Linked DNA regions of Saccharomyces cerevisiae S288C. Changing the gene in region 1 together with any one later gene gives a genetic interaction. Each region holds a gene or a part of one and is shown in the gene's direction. Other genes may lie near its edges.

The links.
Region 2: mutations in DGR2 (region 1) and HBT1 together harm fitness more than expected from each alone (negative genetic interaction), as found in Saccharomyces cerevisiae (one large-scale study listed by BioGRID).
Region 3: mutations in DGR2 (region 1) and TPO4 together harm fitness more than expected from each alone (negative genetic interaction), as found in Saccharomyces cerevisiae (one large-scale study listed by BioGRID).

The regions. Positions count from the first base shown.
Region 1 is NC_001143.9:212,523-224,151, forward strand, and holds DGR2 (Dgr2p), read left to right. Parts: upstream 1-1,619; coding exon 1,620-4,178; downstream 4,179-11,629. Other genes in the region: signal recognition particle subunit SRP21, read right to left, coding at 1-476; OAC1 (Oac1p), read left to right, coding at 4,822-5,796; VPH2 (Vph2p), read right to left, coding at 6,048-6,695; Hsp90 cochaperone SBA1, read left to right, coding at 7,802-8,452; serine/threonine protein kinase PRR1, read right to left, coding at 8,822-10,378; DNA-(apurinic or apyrimidinic site) lyase APN1, read right to left, coding at 10,830-11,629.
Region 2 is NC_001136.10:52,585-64,855, reverse strand, and holds HBT1 (Hbt1p), read left to right. Parts: upstream 1-4,450; coding exon 4,451-7,591; downstream 7,592-12,271. Other genes in the region: telomere-binding protein CDC13, read left to right, coding at 1-2,612; FMP45 (Fmp45p), read left to right, coding at 3,055-3,984; WHI4 (Whi4p), read left to right, coding at 8,510-10,459; septin SHS1, read right to left, coding at 10,756-12,271. UniProt on the Saccharomyces cerevisiae protein: Polarity-determining protein which forms a conjugate with the ubiquitin-like modifier HUB1. Involved in bud site selection and cellular morphogenesis during conjugation. Required for survival during stationary phase.
Region 3 is NC_001147.6:831,308-838,562, reverse strand, and holds TPO4 (Tpo4p), read left to right. Parts: upstream 1-2,131; coding exon 2,132-4,111; downstream 4,112-7,255. Other genes in the region: MOD5 (tRNA dimethylallyltransferase), read right to left, coding at 1-889; YTM1 (Ytm1p), read right to left, coding at 4,368-5,750; FSF1 (Fsf1p), read left to right, coding at 6,521-7,255. UniProt on the Saccharomyces cerevisiae protein: Cell membrane polyamine/proton antiporter, involved in the detoxification of excess polyamines in the cytoplasm. Recognizes spermidine, spermine and the antimalarial drug quinidine, but not quinine, chloroquine and mefloquine.

The DNA.
Region 1 (11,629 bases):
TTTTTTTTCTTTTTTGAAGCTGCAGAGTTACCATTGTTATTTTGCACAGCATTAGCTTTTTGCTTCGGTTCTGTAGCAGTTTTCTTAGCCGCAGGATCGCTCTTTTCGACATCTGTGTTGACAATTAAGGTGGCTAAACCAACAATGTCTTGGATGCTCTTACCTTTTATTTTTTTACTCGATTCTTTTATTTTGTTATTTTTCTTCTTCGACTGTGCTATTTTTTCAATTTTACCTGGAGTTATAGATACGCCTCGTGGGCCTAATGCACTAAGTAATCTTGAAACATCTTTACTCTTATTAGTAGTAAATTTATAGTTCAAGGATAAATGCGAGTTATGAGTTCTAAAGGACACTTTGGTGTCTGTCTTCTGTGTTGGTGGTTTATACGATATGGAGAAGAGCGTTTGAGATGGATTCACCTCAAAAAGGCGAACACTGTTCGTGATGTAGTTGTCAATGGGTTTCACAGACATGTTTTCCAGTTCAATTAGGTCTGTTAATTTGCTCGCGGAGGGAAGCTCTTTTATTTGGGTCAATCGAAGACAGCACAATTGAAACTTTTAGCATTGTTCTCGCGAAAATAGTCAGTTCTTAACTTTTCAAGAGTGGTGCGGCTTACCCTGCCTTCTGCCATAAGTAAAAAGTGACGCAAATAGCGGAACTATTGTCATTGTTATTGACATTAATAATCTGTATTTGTGCTCATCCGGTTCCATTTACTAGTATGCAGACGTATCTTTTTCAGCTGGACGAATTGAGGCTTTCATTAGCTAGTGTGGTAATGACAAACTCTTTGCACTGAGAAAATACTGGGGTGAGGAAACTTTTCTACCGAATTGCTTCCACATCTATCAAAGCATGATTATCAAGTATTCAAAGATCAAAGCATGATGTTTGCAAATAATAAATGTTCAGGCGTCATTTAATGTTGATAATGGTGTACGGGAAGTGACTTGTAAAAGGTAGGGGAAACCGTCAGTCTATCACTAGTGGTGTATCTGATGGAAGTGCCCTTTTATATTTTTTGCCGTACACAGGTAAAGAAATGAAAGTACTAATTATCCCCCATACTCTTTGTTTCTCTTGTGTTGTTTATGATCAATCCTTCTAATTTAATCATTCAATAACTAAATATTTAAAAAGATGTAATTGCCGCAAAAAAAACTCTCAATTATTTACTATTTTGAAACAGTCTCTCAGATAGTATGCGCCATATTGGTGTGATGATTCCTGTGAAAGCATTTTTGGGTTTGTTTAGGTGCCTTCTTTTCTTTATTTAGCATAACCGCCAATACGGAATGAAAAGTCCGTTTTAATGTACCGCTAATAATTCAAAATGCGTAAAAGAGTTTTCATAAAAAGGGTATTTGCGTCAAGCAGGAAGAAATTTTGAAAACAACTAACAGGCAACTTACAGGCATATACTGACTTTAGTAAACGTCTTCCGCTATTCTAAGAAGGAGCTGACTTGAACAAGATCTTTATTTTAACGGTGCGACAAAAACAAGGAAAGTTTACAAGCGCTAGCCGTCGAAGACGTCAATTGCACTATTACTCAGTACCGTTTTAATCCTTACCAACGTAGAATTACTATTTGTGCAGTAGGAGCCTGTGAAATGTTCAAGTCGAAAACAAGCACTTTAAGCTATGATGAAACCCCGAACTCCAACGAGGGTGATCGCAATGCAACCCCTGTAAATCCCAAAGAAAAGAGCCAAACGAAACATTTGAACATACCAGGCGACAGGAGCCGACATTCCTCTATTGCAGATTCAAAAAGAAGCTCTTCTAGATATGATGGAGGCTACTCTGCCGATATAATTCCTGCTCAATTAAGGTTCATTGATAATATAGACTACGGCACGAGGCTGAGAAAAACACTTCACAGAAACTCAGTGGTTTCAAATGGGTACAATAAACTCAGTGAGAATGACCGATGGTATTTCGACCTATTCGATAGGAAATATTTCGAAAACTATCTCGAAGAACCCACATATATTAAAATATTTAAAAAAAAGGAAGGATTAGAACAGTTTGATAGAATGTTCTTAGCTCAAGAGTTGAAAATTCCCGACGTTTACAAATCTACAACCTACCAGGGAGAACCTGCAGTTGCTAATTCAGAGCTATTCAAGAATTCAATATGCTGCTGTACGTTCAGTCATGATGGTAAGTATATGGTTATTGGTTGTAAAGATGGCTCTTTGCATCTTTGGAAAGTCATAAACTCACCAGTTAAGAGATCCGAAATGGGACGCTCAGAAAAGTCAGTCAGTGCCTCTAGAGCAAACTCACTAAAGATTCAAAGACATTTGGCGAGCATTAGTTCTCATAACGGCTCCATATCAAGTAATGATTTGAAGCCGAGCGACCAGTTTGAAGGACCTTCCAAACAATTACATTTATACGCACCGGTTTTCTATTCTGATGTGTTTAGGGTTTTTATGGAGCACGCTTTAGATATTTTGGATGCAAACTGGTCCAAAAATGGATTTCTAATAACAGCATCAATGGACAAAACTGCAAAACTATGGCACCCTGAGAGGAAATACTCATTGAAAACTTTTGTTCACCCAGATTTTGTTACATCCGCAATATTTTTTCCCAATGATGATCGTTTCATAATTACCGGATGCTTAGATCACAGGTGTAGACTGTGGTCTATACTGGACAATGAGGTTTCTTATGCCTTTGATTGCAAAGATTTGATAACATCCCTAACATTATCTCCTCCTGGTGGGGAATATACAATTATCGGTACATTCAATGGATACATTTATGTTTTACTGACACATGGATTAAAATTTGTATCTTCATTCCATGTATCTGATAAAAGCACTCAAGGAACCACTAAGAATAGCTTTCATCCATCTTCCGAATATGGAAAGGTCCAACACGGCCCTCGAATCACGGGTTTACAATGCTTCTTTTCTAAGGTGGACAAAAATTTAAGATTGATAGTTACGACAAATGATTCAAAAATTCAAATCTTTGATTTAAATGAAAAAAAACCTTTAGAGCTTTTTAAAGGATTCCAAAGTGGTTCCTCACGTCATAGAGGCCAATTCCTAATGATGAAAAATGAACCTGTAGTTTTCACGGGAAGTGATGATCATTGGTTTTATACCTGGAAAATGCAGTCCTTTAATCTTTCAGCAGAAATGAATTGCACTGCTCCGCATAGAAAGAAACGGCTGAGCGGCAGTATGAGTTTAAAAGGGCTGTTGAGAATTGTATCTAATAAGAGTACGAATGATGAATGTTTGACAGAAACGTCAAACCAAAGCAGCTCACACACATTTACCAACTCATCAAAAAATGTTCTTCAAACTCAAACTGTTGGTTCTCAAGCTATCAAAAACAATCATTATATATCATTTCATGCCCATAACTCCCCTGTCACATGTGCTTCCATTGCTCCCGACGTTGCAATTAAAAATTTGTCCTTGTCAAACGATTTGATTTTCGAACTGACTTCACAGTACTTCAAAGAAATGGGCCAAAATTATTCAGAATCTAAGGAAACATGTGATAACAAACCTAATCACCCAGTTACAGAAACAGGAGGATTCAGCTCAAACCTATCGAACGTTGTGAATAATGTTGGAACCATTCTAATAACAACAGACAGTCAAGGTCTAATCCGTGTTTTCAGAACTGATATCTTACCGGAAATACGAAAAAAAATAATAGAAAAGTTCCATGAATACAATTTATTCCACCTCGAAGCTGCTGGTAAAATCAACAACCACAACAATGACAGCATATTGGAAAATAGAATGGATGAAAGAAGTTCCACAGAGGATAATGAGTTTAGCACAACCCCACCATCTAACACGCACAATAGTAGGCCAAGCCACGATTTTTGTGAGCTGCATCCTAATAATAGCCCGGTGATTTCCGGCATGCCATCAAGAGCTAGTGCTATTTTCAAGAATTCGATCTTTAATAAATCCAATGGAAGTTTTATATCCCTAAAGTCAAGAAGTGAAAGTACGAGCTCCACGGTGTTTGGACCGCATGATATTCCGAGAGTTTCTACCACTTATCCGAAGTTGAAATGTGACGTCTGCAATGGATCTAATTTTGAATGTGCTTCCAAAAACCCCATTGCTGGCGGTGATAGCGGTTTCACGTGTGCTGATTGTGGTACAATCCTCAATAATTTCAGATAGAGAATCAGAAAGTAAGAGGAAAAACTATCTGTTCCACCGTCTTTAGATCATAAGCATGTCTGCAAATAACATAGTATTATTATTTATATCTGTAGCGATCTTTATTATTTTTCATTACTGACACATTTTCTCACAGAACCATCTACAACCCGAAAGATGCCGGAAACGGTCTTAGGCCGATGGGGTCTATTAGGGCCTACAGAGACGTCAATTGGGCTATAAGAAAAATGAAATCGAGGAAAGATTTTCCACTCTCAAATTAAGTAGGGCAAAAATATGCTTTTGTTCGCATGTGGTGTTATTCCAGTTGCGAGTCAGGGTCTGCCGATATGCTAAAGGAGGTCACGAAAACGAATCTGGCATTTAATACCTCATTAAGTTACAGCGGAATCGGCCTTCTGTTGCGGAAAAAAAAAAAAAAAAGAAAACGAACATTAAGCACCGCTGAAATTTCAAGCTGTGACTAAGTCGTCAAATGATAAATACTGCATATATATAAACTATGTGATTATATGCAACATTAAGATATACTTTCTTCTTCCATAATGCCCCCACTCCAGAACTCCATCCGAAATAGTTTTCCTTAGATTGCTATAGCAAGTCAGACACAAGCACATCTCATCGAATTATATCGTAAGCAAATATGTCATCTGACAACTCTAAACAAGATAAACAAATTGAAAAAACAGCCGCCCAGAAGATATCGAAGTTTGGTTCGTTTGTGGCTGGTGGGCTAGCAGCATGTATAGCTGTTACAGTTACTAATCCGATCGAATTGATTAAAATCAGAATGCAGCTTCAAGGTGAAATGTCAGCATCAGCTGCAAAAGTTTATAAAAATCCAATCCAAGGTATGGCGGTAATTTTCAAAAACGAAGGTATAAAAGGTCTGCAAAAAGGGTTAAATGCTGCTTATATCTATCAAATTGGGCTAAATGGTTCCAGATTAGGGTTTTATGAGCCAATCAGATCATCATTAAATCAGCTTTTCTTCCCAGATCAAGAGCCACATAAGGTACAGAGCGTCGGAGTTAACGTCTTTTCTGGTGCCGCATCTGGTATAATTGGTGCAGTCATTGGCTCTCCATTATTCTTGGTGAAAACAAGACTTCAATCATATTCCGAGTTTATAAAAATTGGTGAACAAACGCACTACACCGGTGTTTGGAACGGGTTAGTAACCATTTTTAAAACCGAAGGTGTTAAGGGTCTATTCAGAGGTATTGATGCGGCAATTTTAAGGACAGGTGCTGGTTCCTCTGTTCAACTACCTATCTACAACACAGCAAAGAACATTTTGGTCAAAAATGATCTGATGAAAGATGGCCCAGCATTACATTTAACTGCTAGTACTATCTCTGGGTTAGGTGTTGCCGTCGTTATGAACCCATGGGATGTCATTTTGACAAGAATCTATAATCAAAAAGGTGACTTGTACAAGGGACCTATAGATTGTTTGGTCAAAACTGTTAGAATCGAAGGTGTAACCGCTTTGTATAAGGGTTTTGCAGCTCAAGTGTTCAGAATCGCACCTCATACAATCATGTGTTTGACCTTCATGGAACAGACAATGAAACTAGTTTATTCGATAGAGTCGAGAGTTTTAGGCCATAATTAATTCCCATAACAAACTCCGAGGTTTGAAGTTTCATTCATTGGCCAGGACAGTTCTACTTTACTAATGGTTTCATTACAACCTTTTTCTTCATATTATGTAGCATTAAGGATAATAGAGCATTTTTTATTTCACATTCATACACGATAGTTTTATAAACGTAATTATAAACATACAGAACATTATTCACAATTGTCCAGTTCCAAGAATTATATGCTCTCGGATCTCGGAGTTCTTATTTATAAAATGATCAGTTACAGTGTAATCTTGCTTAGAACTTTCTTTTTCTCAACCTTTGTTTTTTCTTTTACTTTTGCTTCTTCGAGTTTTTTCAGATAGCTGTTATACACAACCACATCTGCTACTAAGACCAATATTCCAAAGAACAAGCACAACAAAAGACGAACATGGACCGGAAAGTTTGTTGAAGATCCGGTCCAGTACCAAATGGCCACAACAACCGATATGACACTTACAAGAACGTTGAAAACAGTGGTAACTTGTTCCTTAATCTGTTTATTAATTTGTGAAGGCGTGAGTTCATCGTCTTCTTGAAGTGAAAAGACAGACTTGCTTCTCTTGACCATACTTTGATATTCAAGTTCTTGTTCCTGATATTTCAAAAACTCTAATTTTTTCTTGAAATCCTCTGAATAGTGTAAACCTCTGACGGCCTTGGGCTTGAATTCGAACTCCAAAGGTTTCAAAAGTTCTTTGATAGAGCATTGGAGATCACTGTCTTTTCTATACTCTTTCACATAAAAAAGAAGTGACTGCATAGGTATTGCGTGTCGCTTCAGGAACAAATCAATGTCCTCATCAATTCCTTCGTTTGATTTCGCGCTATTCTTGAACTTTCGCAGAAATTCAGTTATTCTATCATTCAGTTTAATTTCGAACATTAGAGTTCTTTTATGTGATGCCAATCGTCAATTATCCTATCTTACCTTTTCTTCATTTCTTTCAGCGTTTTCATGTGAGATTTGCTTTATTTTCGCTTCCTCGTTTCTCATTTTAAATATTCACACGTCCGTCATGTCTACTTTGAGTCAGTTAAATACACAAGATTTTTGTAAAACTGAGTATTTCGTGAACAATATAATTGTTCGGATTCAATCATAGTTAAAGACTATAGTATGAGATACACAGAATATCCTAAAAGTTCCCCTCGAGGGTATAGGAAACCTCAAAATGGAATCGGTCTTTCTACATGATAATATTACTCTAACTTCTTTTCTTCTATACTTTGCCATTCATTACCCTATCACGTTATCAATCCTTGCATTTCAGCTTCCATTAAGACCGATAACTGTTTCCCAATCTCTATGTCATCATCTTACACCGCTGTGATAATATTCTAGGAAGACGAATACTAGCCAATAGATGATACAAGGATTTCATTTCGACAGAAACAAAAAAAGCATGGAAAAACGAATGGAGACAAAGAGGAAGTTAAAGAAAGTTCATTTGTGACCTCATTTACTCAGAAGAATTTCGTAAATCGGTTGTTATAGAACTGTTTTATTGTTTAAAAGAGCTTGTTATAGTAATCTAAGTGGAAATACACTAACAGTAAATAGGGCGTGTGGCGTAGTCGGTAGCGCGCTCCCTTAGCATGGGAGAGGTCTCCGGTTCGATTCCGGACTCGTCCAATCTTTTTATACTTATTAATAATTTTTTTCCTGCCGTTACTTGCTTTTAAAATAACTGCCTTTTATGAATACAGAGTATAATTTTTGATATACAAAGAGGTTGACTGTGATAATCAATACTTAATTTGTGGTTATTGGTACACATATACCTACAAAAGTTACCAACAAACTGTTCGACTTTTAATGCTACCCGCCTTCCGAGTGTTTTTGAAGGGGCGGAGAGGAGCGGCAAGAATTAGCATGGAAAAAAGCATAAAAAGACGAAATGGGTGGCAATGTATTAACTTGTTCGAGAAACCTAGTGGACTCAATTCATTACAACAACAAGTTCCCAAGATCATCGATTCATAATAGTCATGTCCGATAAAGTTATTAACCCTCAAGTTGCATGGGCTCAAAGGTCTAGTACTACTGATCCAGAAAGAAATTATGTCTTAATAACTGTGTCAATTGCAGACTGTGATGCCCCTGAGTTAACCATTAAGCCATCATACATCGAATTAAAGGCTCAATCAAAGCCTCATGTTGGCGATGAAAATGTCCATCATTATCAATTACACATTGATCTATACAAGGAAATTATACCTGAAAAAACAATGCATAAGGTTGCTAATGGCCAGCACTACTTTTTGAAATTGTATAAAAAGGATTTAGAATCTGAATACTGGCCACGTTTGACAAAGGAAAAGGTGAAGTACCCTTACATCAAAACTGATTTCGATAAATGGGTTGATGAAGATGAACAAGACGAAGTTGAAGCTGAAGGTAATGATGCCGCTCAAGGAATGGATTTCAGCCAAATGATGGGAGGTGCTGGAGGTGCTGGAGGTGCTGGAGGCATGGACTTCAGCCAAATGATGGGAGGTGCTGGTGGCGCTGGTTCTCCAGATATGGCTCAATTGCAGCAATTATTGGCTCAAAGCGGTGGTAATTTGGACATGGGAGATTTCAAAGAAAACGATGAAGAAGATGAAGAAGAGGAAATAGAGCCGGAAGTGAAAGCTTAAAAGGAGGAGCAAATCAACCTGGAGTGCTAGAATGAGTAACTTAGAATAAAAGACGAATATATGCACTTTACACAACTCTTTACCTGTTTGTTATTGGCTGCCTCTATGTAATTAAATATTATGGAATTAATAAAAATATTTTTATTCGTAACTATCTTAGATATATATTGTACATTGTCAAAAAGACAGTAGTAAGCAGATAGAAGCTATATTGGATGCAAAATAGAGAAAAAAGCAGAAATATTATGTTGCAAATGTCAAGTAATGGAACTGTATGTGATATTTAAAGAACAATTTCTATATGCTGGATGATTATCAGGTGTAAGCAATAAGAAAGAAAACGAAAGTAACTCCCATCCGTGGGAAATTTCAAGAAAAACTTAGAGTATCAGCGATCGTTTTAACGAAGGGGGATTCGTAAATTTCATTAATCGACCAACGTTGGTTCTTCCTCGTTAGCGTATTTTCCACAATCTGTTTTCCCACATTAGTTTTATAATCGCTTAACCGGTACCATCTCCAATCAAACCTGGCAATACGATGTGACGTAGCTCTGCTACGCTGTCTTGCTGAAGCGTTTGGAGGAGGGTCAAATGGTAATCTGTCCTCAAACAAGCTGTATAGTATGACACCTAAGGCCCACGTGTCGCTTAAATGGCCATCGTAGGGAACTCCCATCAGGATTTCTGGTGAGACATAATCCTCTGATCCACATCTTGCTGTACACATCTCATTGTTCTCAATTTTTTTGCAGAGACCAAAATCTGCTAGCTCAATGAAATTTTGCTTGCAGTAAATGGGTGAGTCCCTAAAACTGTTGATATCATCAAAACTATATTTCAGTAGTATATTCTCTAATTTTAGGTCCCGATGAATAATACTGTTTTCGTGCAAATATTTTACTGCCAGTACTACTTCCGTAAAAATCCTTTGAATCAGCCACGCTTCTAGTCTTCCGTTACGGGCCATGACGGCAGCTAATAAGTCTCCTGCAGGACAATAAGACATAATCATATCACAAGGCGGCAGAGCTCTTGGAGTTTTTATAATCAAATCGCATAAAGGTTTTTTGCTAGTAACAAAAATTGGATTGTTTATCCCAAGTAGTTTAACTATACATGGGTGATTTAGTGATTTTAGCACCTGCAATTCCCTAGTCAGAGAATTTTCCAAACGGGATAAAGTTTCCTTATATCGTAACGATGTATTGATTTGTTCAACATTTGATAATTCCTCGGGATATTTGAGTCGTTTAACGGCCACTTGTTTCAGTTTAGGATTGCTTTGGTCCATGAGTTCATATAAAAGTACGGTACTAAAATTTCCTGAACCAATGGGCCTGACCTTTTTCCATAATAACGGGCGATCCCAGTGATCTAAAAGAAATCCCTGAAATATATCATCGTCACACTTTTCGGTAGAACTACTACTTTCGGGAAAATAAGGTTCTTTCGTGTAGTTATCACTATCAACAGAATCATTTACTAAAGCCTCTTCAGTCACTGTTGGTAAGGAAACAACCCTTTGGGGGGATAAATTAGCTGGTGCAATAAGTTCAGAAACAACTCTTTGGTTTGGTTGTGTAACAGAAAGCATATCATCCAGTAATCGTGCATGACTTCGTCTTTTGGGTATATTCAACGAGGATTGATCTATAGGTGACATTGACAGATTGCCTGGGGATAACGGAGTGTAGGTCATCGGTGTAGGTAATGCTTGGACATTTTCAAACGTCGGAATAGATACAGTCAAAGGTGTACTGCGAGAATCACCAGTGGTCCCTTCAGTGGATGCCATTTTTTTATCTTCCTCACCATTTTCATCAATCAATGCCTTTTCGTGTTGATCGCCAATGGAGTCGGGAAATCCTTCTTGTTTCAACCGAGGAGTCTTTGGTTGTGAATATATACTACTATATTCATCCATTGTCGGTATAACCTAACAGCTGCTGTGGGTATGGATGAATTCGAAGCGTAGATGTGATTACTATCTCAAAATATACTTGTCTAATTGTGTAAAAAAGAAAAAAAAGATAAAGAACACACCCCGCGTTGAAGATTACAAGTAAAAAACTTTCTATGCTTAGGAATAACGTTCCATAAGAGGATGGTGTGCTCAGCCTTCTTAGTTCATTTACTGGAATGTATTTAACTTTACCCTTTTCGTCTGCTAATCCATCAGTATGTGAAAAATGAAAATCTAAAAAAAAAAAAGGCTGCCTTATTCTGTAACGCAACGCGAAACATCTATAAACCAAGTAAGTAGTTTCTATGAAATGGGCAACAGCATCTTGGATGACGAAGGGTAGCATTTAGTTACGTACGTTGAGATAATCTACAAAAATTGATTACGTATTTAAAATTCTTCTCGCTTCTCATTATTCTTTCTTAGTCTTCCTCTTCTTTGTCATTTGTGACAAGATATCATTATCGCTTGGCTCTGCAGTGGCTTTCTTCCTCTTGGTGCCCCCAGCTCGCTTCTTTTGTTTAACCTCAAACTTGTCTAACTGTTCCTTACGCGATTTAGCACCTAATTTCTGCAGCGTATCATTTTTTTCTTTATACTCCTTGTCTTCTAACAATTCGCTCTCACTCTTTGATTCCAACCACTCCATAAGTTTGATTTCATTACCATAGCCTTCATCATTTTCGTATGGAGTTTCCAAGACAATAGGGATACCCTGCAGGTATTCAGAGTGCGCGATCATTCTAAACACATCTATACCCAAATAACCTTGACCCAAGCGTTCATGCAAATCTCTATTTGCTCCTAAAGGAGCCTTGGAATCATTTAAGTGAACAGCACTTAGATATTTGAACCCTATTACATCATTGAACTCTTTCCAAAAATTGTTAAACGTTTCAGTGGTGCTGATATCGTAGCCTGCTGCAAATGTATGGCATGTATCTATGCAAACGCCGATTCTTGATTTATCTTCAATCATTCCAATAACCTCCTTCAAATCTACCAGAGAACTTCCTACTAAATTTCCAGTACCAGCCATATTTTCTAATACAATTTTAACAAATTTCGTTTCCTTAATTGCTTTGTTCAAATATGAGGCTAGTTGTTTTAACTGCAACTGATGGTCTCCTTTCAAAGTAGAACCTGGATGTAAGTTATACAGGCCTATCCCTAATTGCTCACACCTGTTCAGATCGTCCATGAATGACTCAT
Region 2 (12,271 bases), on another chromosome or scaffold:
TTTCTAATTTTGAGAGGCGAGGAGATCAATCCCAAGAAGATCAATATTTAATCAAACTGAAGTTCAAAGATAGGGGCTCGGAGAGGTTAGCCCGGATCACTATTTCCTTACTTTGCCAATACTTTGATATTGAACTGCCAGATTTAGATTCTGACTCAGGCGCATCCCCAACAGTAATACTGAGAGATATTCACCTTGAAAGGTTATGTTTTTCAAGTTGTAAAGCTTTATATGTATCAAAACACGGGAACTATACTCTATTCTTAGAGGACATAAAACCGTTGGATTTGGTAAGTGTGATAAGCACCATATCTACAAAATCGACAAATAGCAGCAAGCATTCGTCATCAGAACTTATTTCAGAATGTGATTTGAACAACTCACTTGTGGATATCTTCAACAATTTAATAGAAATGAATAGAGACGAGAAAAACAGGTTTAAATTTGTAAAGTTGATTCACTACGATATAGAACTAAAAAAGTTCGTTCAAGACCAACAAAAGGTATTATCGCAGAAATCAAAAGCCGCAGCAATTAATCCTTTCTTTGTGCCAAATAGACTAGGGATACCTTACATTGAATCCCAAAACGAATTCAACTCGCAGCTTATGACGCTTAATGTAGATGAACCGACCACAGATATAAGCAACATGGGAGAGGAAATGCATGACAGCGCAGATCCCATTGAGGATTCAGATTCCTCAACTACCTCCTCTACCGGGAAATATTTCAGCTCAAAATCCTACATCCAGTCACAGACACCTGAAAGGAAAACAAGCGTACCAAATAATTGGCACGATGATGATTCCGGAAGCAAGAGGAAGAGAAAGCTTTCTTTCCACAGTCCGAACGCGTCCTCAATCCGCAAAGCCATCAGTTATGAGCAACTTTCCCTAGCTAGTGTAGGCTCAGTTGAAAGGTTAGAGGGCAAAATTGTTGGCATGAATCCACCTCAATTCGCCAGTATAAATGAGTTCAAATATTGCACATTGAAATTATATTTTACGCAGCTCTTACCAAATGTCCCAGACAAGGTCCTGGTGCCAGGCGTCAATTGCATTGAGATCGTTATCCCGACGAGAGAGCGAATCTGTGAGCTCTTCGGTGTTTTAAACTGTCAAAGCGACAAGATATCGGATATTTTACTACTGGAAAAGCCTGATCGAATTTCCGTCGAAGTTGAAAGGATCCTGTGGGACAATGACAAGACCGCCAGCCCAGGTATGGCAGTATGGAGTTTGAAGAACATTAGCACCGACACGCAGGCGCAGGCGCAGGTGCAGGTGCCTGCGCAATCGTCGGCGTCAATCGATCCGTCTCGCACAAGGATGAGCAAAATGGCAAGGAAAGACCCCACCATCGAATTCTGTCAGTTGGGACTCGACACTTTTGAGACCAAATACATAACAATGTTTGGCATGCTAGTCTCCTGCTCGTTTGATAAACCTGCCTTTATATCTTTTGTCTTTAGCGATTTTACCAAGAACGATATCGTCCAAAACTATCTTTACGACAGATATCTAATAGATTACGAGAACAAGTTAGAGCTGAACGAGGGCTTCAAAGCCATCATGTACAAAAACCAATTCGAAACGTTTGACTCTAAGCTCAGAAAAATATTCAACAACGGGCTAAGAGATCTACAGAACGGCCGCGATGAAAACCTTTCGCAATACGGCATAGTTTGTAAGATGAATATAAAAGTGAAAATGTACAACGGCAAATTGAATGCCATTGTGCGCGAATGTGAGCCGGTCCCGCATTCCCAAATAAGCAGCATCGCCTCGCCTTCACAGTGCGAACATTTAAGATTGTTCTACCAACGAGCGTTCAAGAGAATTGGCGAATCCGCAATTTCACGCTATTTCGAAGAGTACCGGAGGTTTTTCCCCATACATAGAAACGGTTCTCATCTCGCGAAACTGAGGTTCGATGAAGTAAAGCATGAACCAAAAAAATCACCCACTACACCAGCTCTCGCAGAACACATACCCGACCTGAATGCAGACGTGTCCTCCTTCGATGTAAAGTTCACAGATATATCTTCTCTCTTGGACTCCTCGGCTCGCCTCCCGCGCCCACAGCAAACACACAAGAGCAACACATTATACAGTTGCGAGGGCCGTATCATCGCCATCGAGTACCACGCATCTGATCTCTGCTTCCATATCACGAATGAGCTCCCACTTTTACAAACCCGCGGCTTGGCCCCGGAGCGAGTGTTGCAACTACACATCATTACCTCCAAGAACTTTGCTTATTTTTTCAACCGCTCAAGCGCCTACTTACAGCGTCAGCCTCTTGAGGAAAAATATACGCAATTGGCACAATTTCTCGGCCATTCATTTAAATTCAATATAACCTCCTCGCTCACGCTGTTCCCTGACACTACCGTGGCACTCCAGATCTGGTGCCCAATTGAATGCACCTTTCGGGAATTGCAACAACAGCTGGCCCATCCGAAGGTTGCAGCGGCTCCTGATTCAGGGAGTCTTGATTGCGCAATTAATGCTACCGTCAATCCTCTGCGACTTCTTGCCGCGCAAAATGGCGTCACCGTGAAAAAGGAGGAGGATAATGACGATGACGCCGGAGCCGTTCCCACCTCGTAAGACATGATCCGCGCAGCCCAACGCGGCGGTGCCAAATTGCAGTGACGTCTCGGAGTAATATAAAAAAAAAAGACCAAATAACCAAATTTAAGGGTGCTCTGAATATAAGGGAGTGGAACGTTTTCACACGAAGGAAAAGGGAAAGAGGGGAGTGGTAAGAAGCAAGAGTCAATGAAAGGTCTTCCTTCCTTCTTGATGCTAAAACAAGGATAGTCTGGAATGGGGAGGAGCATTCGGCGCAGATGCCGACATATAAAAGGATGGTTGCTTTGCAACAGTTACTTGATCTTGCTTTGTTCTCTTGATTAGTTATCCGTTAGATGCAAACTTTAAGTACAGTAATTTTGAAGTGAATTAAAAAGAAAGAGGTATTTACGTTTAACGCTTATACTTTCCTTTTTATCCAAGTAACAAGTAACACTAATCACTATAATCTACCGCTATGATTTTCAAAAGGTTCGTTAATTTGCTTGTGTTTTTATTCCTACTCGGTGCTGGCTTATTGACGTTTTTTCTTATTCTGTCAGGAGGCAGAGAATCTGGAACGCTGAAAAATTTTTATTGGTTACAGGCTGATACAAACGGCTTTAACAGCGCTCCATCGACCACGAGATGGTACAATTACAATTGGTGCGGCTACGAAGACGGCCAGCTAGCTAATTGCTCTAGCAGGGCGCCCGCCAAGCCTTTCTCTCCCAGAGACAATTTTGGTAACTCTGTCAATTTACCATCGTCGTTCAGAAACAACCGGGATACCTACTATTATCTATCCAGGGTTGGATGGGCCATGCTGCTGATTTCCCTATTTTTCATCGTACTGGCGCTGGTACCCGGCTTTCTGGCTACCTTCCTTCCTTTCAAGGCAGTGCCAGTCCTGTACTGTGTGTTGTCCTGGTTGGCCTTTTTCTTCATTATATTGGCTGCATGCTTGTACACAGGTTGCTATGTGAAGGCCAGAAAGACCTTCCGCAACAGCGGGAGGTCTGCAAGGCTGGGACCCAAAAACTTTGCGTTCATCTGGACTTCGGTCTTCTTGATGCTCGTGAACGCCATTTGGTCCACTATATTCAGTGCTACCCACAAGGCCCACTCTACCTACTCGGACCACGACATGTATGCCCAATATGAAAGCCCTTCTGTTGACACCGGTGCTCAAATGGAGAAATCCACTTACAATAGTGGGGCGACGGACGGCGCGGGCCCTATCACAGCCGCACCTGTGGTTGGACAGCCTCAACCTACAACCACCACTACTCCGGCTGGCAATGGCAAGTTCTTTCAAAAACTGAAAACAAGAAAGCAGGTGCCATCAGCTGAGTTAGAACCAGCTGGGGATGGTGGTCTTGCCGGGCCAGTGACGGTACGCGACTAGGAAGGAAATAATCACCATAAAATACTTCCTAATTTTTTTTTTCTTCCTACATTCGCAGTACCATAACTCTGCATCTACCTCCAACCGAAATATTTTTTTGTGACATGGTATAATCCATATGTATCGTGCTGAAATTTTTTCTTGGAGATTTTCATTTATTCTCCACCATTCTTTCTCGCCTCCCCTCCTCCTTTTCCTTCTAATAATAACTTAGTTCTTTTTCCTTCTTCATTAAAGAGACTAAGAAAAAAAAAACGTCAATAATACCCGGCACCTTAGTGTAATTAATAGTAATAATATTGAATTTAATTCTTTAATAATACCACCCCCTCAAGAAAATTAATATATAATACTAACTAACTCAAAAACACCTTTTTTTATATGTAACTGTAGAGATAAGAATAATACCGAACACCGTGAAGATTTCCCAGTGGAGAGCTATCAAGAATATCACCCAACCCAAGATATGAATATGAACGAGTCCATTTCCAAAGATGGTCAAGGCGAAGAAGAACAAAATAATTTTTCGTTTGGTGGTAAGCCCGGTTCCTATGATTCCAATTCAGATTCTGCTCAACGCAAAAAGTCTTTCAGTACTACAAAGCCGACCGAATATAACTTACCAAAAGAACAGCCCGAATCAACGTCCAAGAATTTGGAAACCAAGGCTAAAAACATTCTGTTACCTTGGAGGAAGAAGCATAATAAAGACTCGGAAACTCCACACGAAGACACTGAGGCGGACGCTAACCGCCGTGCCAACGTAACTTCTGATGTGAACCCTGTTTCTGCCGACACCAAGTCAAGTTCTGGCCCTAATGCTACTATTACTACCCATGGATACTCTTATGTCAAAACAACGACACCCGCTGCTACAAGTGAGCAATCCAAAGTGAAAACGTCACCTCCCACTAGCCATGAACATTCAAATATAAAGGCGTCCCCCACTGCGCATAGACATTCCAAAGGTGATGCAGGGCATCCAAGTATTGCAACCACTCATAACCACAGCACTTCCAAAGCTGCCACTTCTCCTGTTACTCACACGCATGGTCATTCCAGTGCTACCACTTCCCCTGTCACTCACACACATGGTCATGCCAGTGTGAAAACCACATCTCCTACCAATACTCATGAGCATTCTAAAGCGAATACTGGTCCATCAGCCACTGCAACTACACATGGACATATCAACGTCAAAACTACCCACCCTGTTAGCCATGGTCACTCTGGTTCAAGCACTGGTCCTAAATCCACCGCTGCTGCACAGGATCATTCCAGTACTAAAACTAACCCTTCAGTTACTCATGGACATACAAGTGTTAAAGATAACTCCTCAGCTACGAAGGGTTATTCGAACACTGATTCCAACTCAGATCGAGATGTCATACCTGGTAGTTTCCGGGGCATGACTGGTACTGATGTGAACCCTGTTGATCCTAGTGTTTACACAAGTACAGGCCCAAAGAGTAATGTTAGTTCCGGTATGAACGCTGTCGACCCTAGTGTCTACACGGACACAAGTTCGAAGTCTGCAGATCGTAGAAAGTACTCTGGCAACACTGCGACTGGTCCTCCTCAAGATACAATTAAAGAAATTGCACAGAACGTGAAGATGGATGAGAGCGAACAAACTGGATTGAAAAATGACCAAGTTTCTGGTTCTGATGCAATCCAACAGCAAACTATGGAACCTGAACCCAAAGCAGCAGTCGGGACAAGTGGTTTTGTAAGCCAGCAACCTTCTTATCATGATAGCAATAAAAACATTCAACACCCAGAAAAGAATAAGGTTGATAATAAAAATATATCAGAAAGAGCGGCTGAAAAATTTAACATTGAAAGAGATGACATTCTGGAATCCGCCGATGATTATCAACAGAAAAACATTAAATCCAAGACGGATTCTAATTGGGGTCCAATTGAATATAGTTCCAGCGCTGGTAAAAATAAGAATCTGCAGGATGTTGTTATACCTTCTAGTATGAAGGAGAAATTCGACAGCGGTACATCTGGATCTCAGAATATGCCTAAAGCGGGAACCGAATTAGGACATATGAAGTATAATGATAATGGTAGGGATAACTTGCAATATGTTGCCGGTTCACAAGCTGGTTCTCAAAATACGAACAACAATATTGACATGTCACCCCGTCATGAAGCAGAATGGTCCGGGCTTTCTAATGATGCCACCACCCGAAACAATGTTGTATCACCTGCTATGAAGGACGAAGATATGAATGAAGATTCTACTAAACCTCATCAATATGGGTTGGATTATTTGGATGATGTTGAAGACTACCACGAGAATGATATTGACGACTACTCAAATGCAAAGAAAAACGACTTGTATTCTAAGAAAGCGTACCAGGGAAAACCATCGGATTACAATTATGAGCAGAGAGAGAAAATCCCAGGTACTTTTGAACCTGATACGTTGTCAAAATCAGTGCAAAAACAAGATGAAGACCCGTTGTCTCCAAGGCAAACCACTAACCGTGCTGGTATGGAGACTGCAAGAGATGAGAGTCTTGGCAATTACGAATACTCGAATACTTCTGGTAACAAAAAATTATCTGATTTAAGCAAAAATAAATCAGGCCCAACTCCAACGCGTTCTAATTTTATTGACCAAATTGAGCCAAGAAGAGCAAAAACAACACAGGATATTGCATCCGATGCCAAGGATTTCACCAATAATCCGGAAACAGGTACTACTGGAAACGTAGATACAACCGGAAGGATGGGTGCAAAATCCAAGACCTTCAGCTCGAACCCTTTTGATGATAGTAAAAATACAGACACTCATCTCGAAAACGCTAATGTTGCTGCCTTTGATAATTCCAGATCTGGAGACACTACATACTCCAAATCAGGGGATGCTGAAACAGCTGCTTACGATAATATTAAAAATGCGGACCCTACATATGCCAAATCACAAGATATTACTGGAATGACTCACGATCAGGAACCATCATCAGAACAAAAGGCCAGTTACGGTTCTGGCGGCAATTCCCAAAATCAAGAATATTCTAGCGACGATAATATTGATGTCAATAAGAATGCGAAAGTTTTAGAGGAAGACGCACCGGGCTACAAGCGTGAAGTAGATTTGAAGAACAAACGTAGAACCGACCTTGGTGGTGCCGACGCCTCAAACGCTTATGCTGCCGAAGTTGGTAATTTCCCTAGTTTGATTGACCCACATGTCCCAACATACGGATTTAAAGACACCAACACCTCTAGTTCTCAAAAGCCATCTGAGGGCACCTACCCAGAAACCACTTCCTATTCAATTCATAATGAAACAACTTCTCAGGGAAGGAAAGTGTCGGTGGGTTCAATGGGTTCCGGAAAATCAAAACATCATCACAATCATCACCGTCACAGCAGACAGAATTCTTCAAAAGGGTCTGACTACGACTATAATAATTCTACTCATTCAGCCGAGCACACTCCAAGACATCATCAGTACGGTTCCGATGAGGGTGAGCAAGATTACCATGACGACGAGCAAGGTGAGGAACAGGCTGGTAAACAAAGTTTCATGGGTAGAGTGAGAAAAAGTATTTCTGGCGGTACTTTTGGATTTAGGAGTGAAATTTAAACACTTCTCGATTAACAAATTCCCAGTATTCTTTGAAATCTATTTTTCTTCCTCAATTGAATTTGAATAACTGTCTACGCGGACTCCTCCTATCTACAACTACAACAAATTTTAACCACTTTATTACCACTTTCCTCTTTCATTTATTTTTGTCTTTTATGTTGTCAATTTACTAGTATTTTTTTTTTTTTCATTTACGTTCAAGGTTTTTTATACTCATTTAACTTGTCTTAGGTTATTTATATATATACCTATATATTTATATATATATATATATATGTATGTATATATTATTATCACCAAATGAGAAATAATAGCTAATTTGATTTTTGATTATTTAAAATATTGGTTTGTTCTTTCTGCAAACATCTCGTTTGGTACGATATTAGTGAAAAACGATGTAATTATCAACACGTGCATTACCCAGCGTTATATTTTCATTACCCGGACGTGGTGTTTTTTGTTTTTTAATGTTTCTTAGACTTAAAGAGGAATGGAATGGTTATTTGGATTAAATCATAGAAAAGTACAATTAAGGTTACGGCAGGAGCCTCGAACCGGTAGTTTTACAGAAAATAGACCCATCTGGTGGCAACACTAAATCATTGAAATAATAGCAAACAATTGTTTCAAAACTCCTCCCATTTGGATCTCATCTCAATTGTTTTTTCCTTCTTAGTTAAAAGTTCACGAAATTAGGAAATCTAAGAATCAAAATATAATCCGCTGTTATTTCTGCGTGTAAAGGTTTATCTTCTACTTGTGTCATATTTCACAAATTATCACTTTGCTAAAACAAGGGACTGACTTCTTTCTTTATTTTTCGAGCATTTTTCAAAAAAGCAGGGTTTTTGAAAACAGGAACCTTAGTTGCCACATCTACGCTGAAAAATAACGCTTAAGGTTTCTCAATTAACAATGTCATTAGTGCATAATCAGACGAATTTAAACGAATCCAAATTTCTTATAGAAAGGGCATTTAGTTCTAGTTCAGAAACCGTTCCATTATCAAAGGAGGCAACATATCCCATGCCAACTGCATATAGTTTTTCCGCAGTTAGGAGCAACAGCGAGACTAACATTAAAAGAGAGAACCCGCAAGGTTTTGCAAAAGAACCTATTATGACTTCTATGCTTCATAATTTGACCATGTCCACGGGGAAAGGGAACGGGAATGACGTCAATTCTTTAGCCCCACATGATGTGGATGTTGGCCCCTACTGTCTTTTGCTGAGGAATTTGCCAAAAGACATTACACTAAGAGAGTGTTATTGTATATTTTCACTAGCAACTGGGGTGTCAAGTATAGAACTAAAAAGGGATGATAGAGAACCCTTTAATGACAATGAAAAAGTCGTTGTGGTCAAATTTGGATCCCTTTCTTTAGTAACCCATTATGCTAATATATTAAACTCGAAGTCTGAGATTTTTGGGCCTAGTTTCCCCTTTAGGTCTCACATTGACGTAGTAAATGAACAAACGCAGCTTCCAGTGAGTTTTCAAGAACATGTTTCATCTGGCACTACAAATAGTTCTCCAAAGAATTACCAATTGTCGTCCAGTGCGCAAAATGAAATTCAAAATCAAAGTTTTAATACTATATCATATGGAAAAACTAGTTCCTCTCCATTAGGGCCTTCAGCGGCCAAGCCAAGGCCTTCATTACTTTCAGAGAGATCCCTCCGTTTCTCATTCAATGACCCATTCGGATTGGAAACAATCTCTCAAAGAAAAGAATCCGTACCCTTTCTACGAAATAGCATCTCACAACATGATTTATCAAACGTAACCACCACACCAGTTCCAGCAGGAATGCCACCTCAGAAGGACGCTGGCAAGTCACTTTTGCTACTAGAAAAGGATGAAATAAATGAAAGTATTTGGAATGGTGATGAATTAGTTAATGATGTTGGTAATTCTTCATTTGGTGCATCTTTACAAGAGCCTCCGATGTCATCTACGCCTGTGATGGAGTGGAATGCTTCCTCAACTGCTAATATTCCTCTTTTTCAATTATCTAGCCAAGAAAATCATCAGTCTAATCTGTTGCCTCCATCCCACCATTCAATTAGCCAGGATGTTCCACATATTCAATCACAACCTAATCTGAACAATTCAGGAGTAATACATTCCGCGACTTCTCTACCGCATTATCACTTATTGAACCAAATTAATGCTTCAACTAAGACACAAAGTATTCAGCAGAGCGTTTCGAATGTTCCTTCCAATTTGGACCTGAATCTCCAAACGGAAAATGGCCACCCACAATCTTCTGCTCCTAACGGGTCTTCAATATTCAACAACCAAAAGGTGAATCAAGGCTTTTTAGTGAGTGAACAAGACACCAGTACAATATCACGACAGAAAGAATGTTCTTCTACAGCTTCTGCCTCTGCATTTTCGAAAAATAACGAAACAAATGTGGCAGGTTCCACAACTATTTCACAGGCTGACCTATCACTACTAGCCAAGGTGCCACCACCAGCCAATCCCGCGGACCAAAATCCTCCTTGTAATACTCTTTATGTGGGTAATCTACCTCCGGATGCCACGGAACAAGAATTAAGGCAATTGTTTTCTAATCAGCAAGGTTTTCGTAGATTATCCTTCAGGAATAAAATGAACTCTCACGGTCATGGCAACGGTCATGGCCATGGTCCAATTTGTTTTGTAGAATTTGAGGATGTTAGCTTTGCCACTAGAGCATTGGCAGAATTATATGGTAGTCAACTACCTCACCCCCGCCCTTCCCTCAACAACAAAGGAGGTATCAGGTTGAGCTTCTCTAAAAATCCATTAGGCGTTAGAGGCTCAAACAGTAGGAGTAAATCTGGTTACAGCTTTAATGGAAGTTACGGGAAATCATGATAGATTTAGTATTGCTTTATTAATTTTCTTTTGCTTTACTTTCTGACCTTCGTTTTTACTTTTTGGATTTTGCAGTTTTTTCATGCTCTACTTATTTAGTTTATGCCATATTTAAATTTATCCCTACAATTATTTGACACTGTTTGTATGTGTGTTCCCTTCTTGAAGGCTGTGCTGAGGAAACTTTGTAGTTGGTACATAAATTTTTGATCAAAAGTAAAAATACCCCCGTTCGGTAACTTATACATTTATTTATTTATTTATTTGCTCAGCTTTGGATTTTGTACAGATACAACTCAATCTCTACCCGATGCAATAGAGGCTAAATCAGTATACGTGTCATTTTTTTTAATTTGGCTCCTTGTGCTCTGTTGTAGAGAATTGATTGAAGATGATGAACCGTTTAGTTTATTCTGATTTATTAGTTTTTCCCTCAATTTCAATTCGTGTGCTTTTCTTTCTAATTCTTGAATTCTTTTTTGTAATTCTTTAGCTGACTGGGCCTCTAACTCTTCCAGTTTTTGTTGTCTTGCTAAAATTCTTTCATGTCTCAAGACATATGGAACGGTTTCTGAAATATTTCTTAACTTGGTACGCTCTGGTAAGTCCGGAGAGTTCAAGAATTTTGGTGAAGATTCTGTTTTGATAGATCTTATCAAATTTTCATTTTCTTGTTTTATTTCTCTACCCAACTGTCTCACGGGAGACATTTCCTGTTCATTTTCTGCTGAATCATGTTCGCCATTGTCTTCGTATTCGTTTTCCTTAAAGTTTCCACTTACTTGGTTTCTTGGTGTGTCCGCTCTCAAATTGTTTGCAAGAGTTTGAGAAGAATTGAATTGACCAGTGCTTATCAAAGAGGCAAAGTTGCTTAAACTTGGAGCATTTGACTGTCTCTTTGTAGAATTAGGACCAATTTCTTCAGCGTTGGCCACGGACGATAGTTTTTCGGAACGGTAATTCTCGTAAAGCAAATTTTGCGTGGTGTCTTTGAATTCTTGTAAGTGAGAACCAAACAGGACGTTTTTTAAAACTTTCAAATCCGAAATTTTGTCGTCGTCGATTGATATTATCCCCCACGGATACTCCCTAACGTATCTACCTTCACTATCTCTGGTATCTGAAGTTATAATAGCAAATGGTTGCAAGGATGCCAAGGCTTGATTCTCTTCCATGGATTCCAAATCATCATCTTCAGGGTCAACCTCAAATTTGTAAATTGGGACGTTGTATCTTTCCACATCAAACATAATATTTTTCCTGAATTGAGTTAGCTCCTCCTTGGTGAATGAGTCAGCTCTTGTTATTATTGGCAGTACATTTGTGTATTTGGAGATGCTTTTCATGAGCTCTACATCGACTTCTCTCAGACCGTGTCCAGTGGGTTCAATAAAATATAATGCTACGTGAACCCTGGTGTCCTCAAACCTCGGATTCCTTTTAATTCTGGTTTCCTCAGCTAAAACAATGTCAAATTGTTGTTCTAAATACGACATAACTTCCTCAGAACACAACGAATCGTCCAAGTTTTCGCCTATACCATGCGTCATAATCAAGTTGAAAAACACGGTATCATCCTCGTTCATTTCTGGCTTTCCTTGATCTTTGTTGCCCCCAAGTTCTAATGAAGTGGAGGTGATGGTAATACCTGGTTCCAAATTGGCTCTCATTGGATCGAATTCAGAAACATAAGATGGAATCCCATTTTTCGAATTAAATGAAACAACTTTTGTCGGAGCAATAACTTTTACTTCTGGGTTAGAGCTAATACTAGCATTTGATTTACCGTATTGATACTTATGCGGAAAGATC
Region 3 (7,255 bases), on another chromosome or scaffold:
CCTGCCTTTTTGCGTATTGACGTGTTCTCGTTTTCATTCTTTCTATACAATCCTCCAATTTTACTGTGTTGTCATCAGTTTTCCCGGTTAGCCACGGTAAGAATTCTTTGAAGCCAATAACTTGCCAAACACCATTCTCGCATTGCTCCGGCGTAAATTTATTTTGACTGTAATATTCATATAATTGCTTGATTTCTTGCAAGGCGCCTCTTTCTAGCATGTCGTCTACACGATCGTCAAGCCTTTGGAAAAGTGGCTCCGGCTTACTGTATAGCCATAAAAATAGGGTATCAAACTTCAAAGTTATTTTTTGTTCGTTAAATGTCTCGCTTGGTTTTTTGCCCGTCTTATAGTAGATTTCCAACATTCGTTGTACCCTCCTGTAGTCATTAGGATGGTATTTGGTAGCTATATCAGGATCACACTTCACAAGTGTGTTATAAATCACATCAGGGTCAGTCGATTCCAAAATATCGAGCTGCTTCCTTGTGAGCTTACGTTCGGATGATTTCGTATCGACCCGCTTATTGAAAAGAGTCTGCAAATAATAATGAGTACCCCCAACAACGATGGGTATCTTACCCCTCCGGTGAATATCTTCAATAGCGTTCATGCATTCAGTTTCAAAACGATGGGAATAGTATTCTTCTGACCAATCTACGTGATTCATTACATGGTGAGGAATGCCCTCTCTTTCTTGAAGCGGATGTTTATTTGTTATAATAGGAATATCTTTATATACCTGCATAGAATCCGAATTGATAACTTCGCCATTAAATTTTTGTGCCAATTGTATGGACAACTGAGACTTTCCTACTCCTGTTGTACCAGCAATCACTATAACTTTTTTAGACATATTTAAGCAACCTTTAAGCGGTCCCTTTAGCATGAAGATTTTTGGTTCTATTTACAAAAGATATGTACGTATAGTAGCTTATCTAATAAACTATACAGCCCTCACTGAGCTTTTCTTCTTTTTTGCCATTTTAGAATTTTTTTCTGTTTTAATTTTCTTTCCGATGAGCGAAAGATGAACGTGTGCTTTCGCCTGATTCAGTAATCAAGATCTTAGATCGACGTTGCCATCGAGGAGCAGCAACATAAGGAACTTTTACCTGATTTTAGCTTATACGAGCAAAATTCGCTCTTTATCTTTCGAAGGCATGACCACAATAGCGCAAGTAGATATGTAAATAAATCTTCCTAAACCGGTCTCGGAATGCAAAGAGCTTCGTATTTCAAAATTACCCGAATCCTATACATGTCAGGAATCAGGTTATACTCCCTAGCTCTTTTCCTGTTTGTCCATCTTTTTCCTATCATAGATGGTTATGGAGGCGGCTGTTTCTGTAAGAACTACGGAGTCGCGGCCCGGAATGGGAGAAATGCGAAGAAGCAGGCCGCAAGTGGAAGAAATTATTGGGGTAAAAGATCAACTAATGAACTCTGGATATAAAAAGTACAGTTAGCGTTTCTTCCCAACTTTCTTATGCTGCTATCAGCAAATGCATTTGCATAGGCTACAAGCCACAAGCCACAAGCCAATAAGGCATATGAATAATAAGAGAAAAAGTGCCTAATTGCTGTTTATATCAACCGTATGGCGTGCTTTAGCTGCAATAAACTTGTTTTCGCCGATTACCACTAATGGCCGACTTCCACGGATCCCAAAAATAGTGCCACGTCGGTACGGTCGGGCATAGTGGTTATTATTTCCGGGTTGTGACCCGCTTCGGATAATTGATCTATCCCCGAGGTAATAGGCCCGTGCGGTTCCGTCTTCATGAAGCTGCAGGGGCTCCGCTTAAAAGCCCCTGACGGCTCACCTTAAATCCGTGTTACGACACTATGCCAAATGAAGGAAACACTGAAATGATTGCATACCCGCACTCGTGCTTACATGCTAATTGTCCTTGTCAGAGCAAACGGTACCGGAGGCTTGAATGTGTTTATGTGTATATATATATTCGCCTGTATGGAAAGTTATAGGTTGTCAATTTGTTGTACCTGACACATCGATTTTCTAGTCATCACTTTCCTGAAAATTACAGAATAAAGATACCATCTTATACACACACATACACACACAAAGAAGCATAGACATCGTATACATATATTTTAAGTTTTACTAATGCCTTCTTCTTTGACAAAAACCGAATCTAACTCAGATCCTCGAACAAACATACAGCAGGTACCAAAAGCCTTGGACAAAAATGTAACTAATAGCGGCAACTTGGATTCGACTTCTTCTTCGACAGGGTCAATAACAGAGGACGAAAAAAGATCAGAACCGAATGCAGATTCCAATAACATGACAGGGGGCGAGCCAATTGACCCAAGAGATCTCGATTGGGACGGGCCCGATGACCCAGACAATCCGCATAATTGGTCCTCTTTGAAGAAATGGTATACTACTATGACTTCAGCTTTTCTTTGTTTGGTCGTCACAATGGGTAGTTCCCTATATGTTTCTTCCGTACCAGAATTGGTAGAAAGATATCACGTTAGTCAGACTTTGGCGCTTGCTGGTTTAACTTTCTATCTTCTGGGTTTATCGACTGTCATCGGCGCTCCATTAAGTGAAGTGTTTGGTCGTAAGCCTGTCTATTTATTTTCCCTACCTGTGTCAATGCTTTTCACCATGGGTGTTGGGTTATCCAATGGCCACATGAGAATAATTCTACCCCTAAGGTTTTTATCAGGTGTCTTTGCATCCCCCGCCTTATCCGTTGGATCAGGTACCATCCTGGATATCTTTGACGTGGACCAGGTCTCCGTCGCAATGACATACTTTGTTCTATCTCCATTCTTAGGGCCAGTTTTATCTCCTATTATGGCAGGATTTGCTACTGAAGCCAAAGGCTGGCGTTGGTCTGAATGGATCCAATTGATTGCGGGCGGTCTAATCTTGCCATTTATTGCGCTCATGCCAGAGACCCATAAAGGTATTATTTTAAGAAAGCGTGCCAAGAAGAGAAATATAGCCTTGAAGAAGTTCAGCAGGGAAGCTCAGAAAGAATTTTTAAAAACCACTGTCACTATTACAATCTTAAGGCCTTTAAAAATGCTTGTCGTTGAACCTATTGTATTTGTTTTCAGTGTTTATGTCGCTTTCATATTCGCCATTTTATTTGGATTTTTCGAAGCATACGCTGTCATTTATCGTGGTGTTTACCACATGTCTATGGGGATATCTGGCTTGCCATTTATTGGTATTGGTGTCGGGTTATGGATAGGTGCTTTCTTTTACCTTTACATCGACAGAAAATATCTCTTCCCTAAACCACCAGCTGGCACTCAACCACTCACCGAAAAAGAGAGAACTTCTAAAAGGACTACCCCTTACAGAGGTGCAAGAGACGCTGAAACAGGTGAATTGCTACCCGTTGTTCCAGAAAAATTTTTAATTGCCTGTAAATTTGGTTCTGTAGCTTTGCCTATCGGCCTGTTTTGGCAAGCCTGGACTGCTAGATCAGATGTCCACTGGATGGCTCCTGTGGCTGCCGGTGTGCCATTTGGTTTTGGTTTAATTTTGATTTTTTTCAGCGTTTTAATGTACTTCTCTACATGCTATCCGCCATTAACTGTGGCATCCTGTTTGGCTGCCAATAATCTATTAAGATACGTTATGAGTAGTGTATTCCCATTGTTTACCATCCAAATGTACACAAAGATGAAAATCAAATGGGCAAGCACTTTATTTGCATTAGTTTGCGTTGTGATGATTCCAATTCCATGGGTTTTTGAAAAATGGGGGAGCAAATTAAGACACAAGTCACAATTTGGTTATGCCGCCATGGAAAAGGAGGCTGAGACCGAAGGTGGTATAGATGACGTAAATGCTGTCGATGGTGAATTGAATCTAACAAGGATGACCACGTTAAGGACCATGGAAACAGACCCTTCGACTAGAGAAAAACCAGGTGAAAGGCTATCTCTGCGCAGGACCCATACGCAGCCCGTTCCTGCCTCGTTTGATCGCGAGGACGGGCAACATGCGCAAAATCGTAATGAACCCATTTCCAATAGTTTATACTCAGCTATCAAGGATAATGAAGACGGTTATTCGTATACGGAAATGGCCACCGATGCTTCCGCCAGAATGGTTTGAAAAGGTCTTAAGACAGATCACAATTGCATATATTCAAATAGTAAATTGGGGGATAGCTGGATAAAATTCACCAATTTAAATTTATAGAAGTTTCATACAAGTACACATTATCATAGAAGTATTTTTTTTTTTAGCAAGTAATGTCGTTTTACATAAAGAAGAAGGTGACAGAAATTTGCGAAAGCTGTTGGCAAAACCAAATTTATTTCAAGTATATCAGTACATTATTCTACATAAAAACAACAACAGTTTTTTCTCAGTTTTTGAAAATGTTGTCTCCTTTATTTATTTGAATCTTTTTGTCTTGACCAGCGCTGATAATACCCACTTTTTCAGCCCATTTGACAGCAAAAACTTTGTCATTGACGCCCTTTTGGACCGATTTGTCTTCTCTTGTTATGGTGTACATCGGAGAAGTAGACCTGACGTCCCATACCTTCACGGTACCATCGTGAGAACCCGAGCATAATATATACTCATTCTCGGGACAAGTGTCCAGAGAGGAAACGAAGTTCTTATGACCAATTAGTTGTTGCTGAGTAACTTTGGAAGACGCTCCCACACGTGGGTCATGCAATGTGATGTGTCTGGCGCTGGACCCACATGCTAACAAGTTCAAAGTCGACAATTGAGCAATGGAAAGCAACGAGTACGATGTTGTTCTTGTATCTATACATCTCGCGGTGACCAAATCCCATGTCTTGATGGTATGATCTTGTGATACTGAATAACCAACGGTATTATCTGTAGAATCGAAGATCACTTGCTCAACAGGAGCTGTATGGGATTCTAACAGAGACAGAGGGGCACGTCTTCTAATGGTACCATCTTTCATTGTCAATTTTCTCCTTTTTCTAGCAGCAGTGGATATTTTATTGTTTGGATTGTTTATATCTTCTAATGGATCAACAACTGTCATTTCCTTATAAATAGTAGACCAGAACCCAATAGAATTGTCGTATGATGCAGATAATATTCTTGAGTTGTCTGAAACATCAATAGAGACTACTGGTGCCTTATGACCTTCCAAGATAGCCAGTGTCTTACCGTCCTCTATGTTTACTTCGTCATCATCGTCTTCCTGTGCCTGTTGTTGTGAAGTTAATTTCAAATCATCGTTTTTGGTTTTCCATAATCTCAAAGTACGGTCGTTACCAGCCGAAACTAGCCTTGTATTGGAAATGTATTTTACTGCACGGATTGGGCCAGAATGACCACTGTACTGCTTTTGCACATTACCTGATAAATCCCAGGTGCGAACTATACCATCGTAAGAACCACTAATAATATGCTTGGAACCGTCGCCGACATCCAATGAGCTAACCCAGTCCTCATTGCTGAAACTATTCAAATAGGATGGTGGAAGAATTGCCCTGGTATATTCTACATTCAGCGAGGCTTCGCTCGATAAACCTTTCTTGGTCAAATAGTCGTGCAATGAAGTACGTAACAATTCACCTTCAATCAAGAAATCGAAAGGAACAGGCTTTTCCGAGCCCAACAAGTGATTGACAATTTCGGACAACCCATATCTCTTTAATGAGATGGGGGCGTACATTGGAGTATCTTGTACATGTAGTAATTCATCTTTCTCACGCGTGAAAAACCTGATTTTAACCTGCGATTTATCTTCTGTCATATTGAATTTGTGCAGTTTCCCTTGGTATTGTCTTTAAAACTTTAGGTAACGTATTGGTTCTGCGAACATAGAATATGTCTTTTTGCAATTATACAGATGAGCATATGCCTTTCACTGCTCCTACGGTTTGCGATGAGATGAGCACTTCAGAAAATTTTTGAAAAATTTTTGAAGTACTGGCCGGGTAACAGAAAACTGTCAAACCCTCTTGTGCAAGAAATAAGCTAAAGTTCTCCCTAAGAATAAAATAGTAAAGGAAGCTATTGCTACAGATAAATATAAATGAATGAAAGATATCTCACTCGCGCAGCTACCGATCTGGGCCAATGGGAGACACTAAAAGAAGCACCTGTGAGAAGCGCCCAGAACAGTATGAGGACGCTCATGAGTGTGGGAGTTGCTCTAGCTCTTCTTTTCCCCTCTGATCACCTACGGATGTAAGATGGCACAGTGAATAGAAGGCATGTTTAATATGTATCATGCCTTCTTCGGAACCGAAAATCAAAGATAACTAAAAAATGAAAGAAGAGTAATACTAGAAAAATGATCGCTGCCTCGGCGCTTTTTATACCAATGGTGCCCGAGACGAACGAAAAGTTTTTCTTTCGTACTGGCGTCCGGTACCGGAGCGTACCAGATTGAGGTAATTGGATAAGAGACTGTTAGGTCTTCGCATCAGCTTTACAGTTTTCAAAGGCGTCGACCACTGCAAGTTAGCAATAATAAAACCACACAGCATCGAAAGAAAAAAATAAACAAGGCAGAGAAATATGGCATCATCAGTCCCAGGGCCCATCGATTTGCCCGAATCCCGCTATGACTTATCCACGTATTGGGGTAGAATCCGCCATTGCGCAGAGATTTCCGACCCCACTATGTTGTTAACTACTGAGAAGGACCTGGCGCATGCTAGAGAAATCATCAGTGCGTATCGTCACGGTGAACTAAAAGAGACTACTCCGGAGTTCTGGCGAGCCAAGAAACAACTGGACTCCACCGTGCATCCGGACACAGGGAAGACAGTTCTTTTGCCCTTCCGTATGTCTTCCAACGTGCTATCAAACCTAGTCGTTACTGTAGGTATGCTGACGCCTGGTTTGGGTACGGCAGGGACTGTATTTTGGCAATGGGCAAATCAATCGCTAAACGTCGCCGTTAATTCCGCTAACGCAAACAAATCTCATCCTATGTCCACGTCCCAATTGCTCACCAATTACGCTGCCGCTGTAACTGCGTCGTGTGGTGTTGCGTTAGGTCTAAATAACCTAGTTCCCAGGTTGAAAAACATTTCTCCACATTCAAAGTTGATCTTGGGCCGTTTGGTGCCATTTGCCGCCGTGGTCAGTGCCGGTATTGTCAACGTCTTCCTAATGAGAGGCAACGAAATTAGAAAGGGTATTTCTGTGTTTGACTCTAACGGTGACGAAGTCGGAAAGTCCAAGAAGGCTGCCTTCATGGCAGTTGGTGAAACTGCATTAAGTAGAGTGATTAACGCCACTCCAACT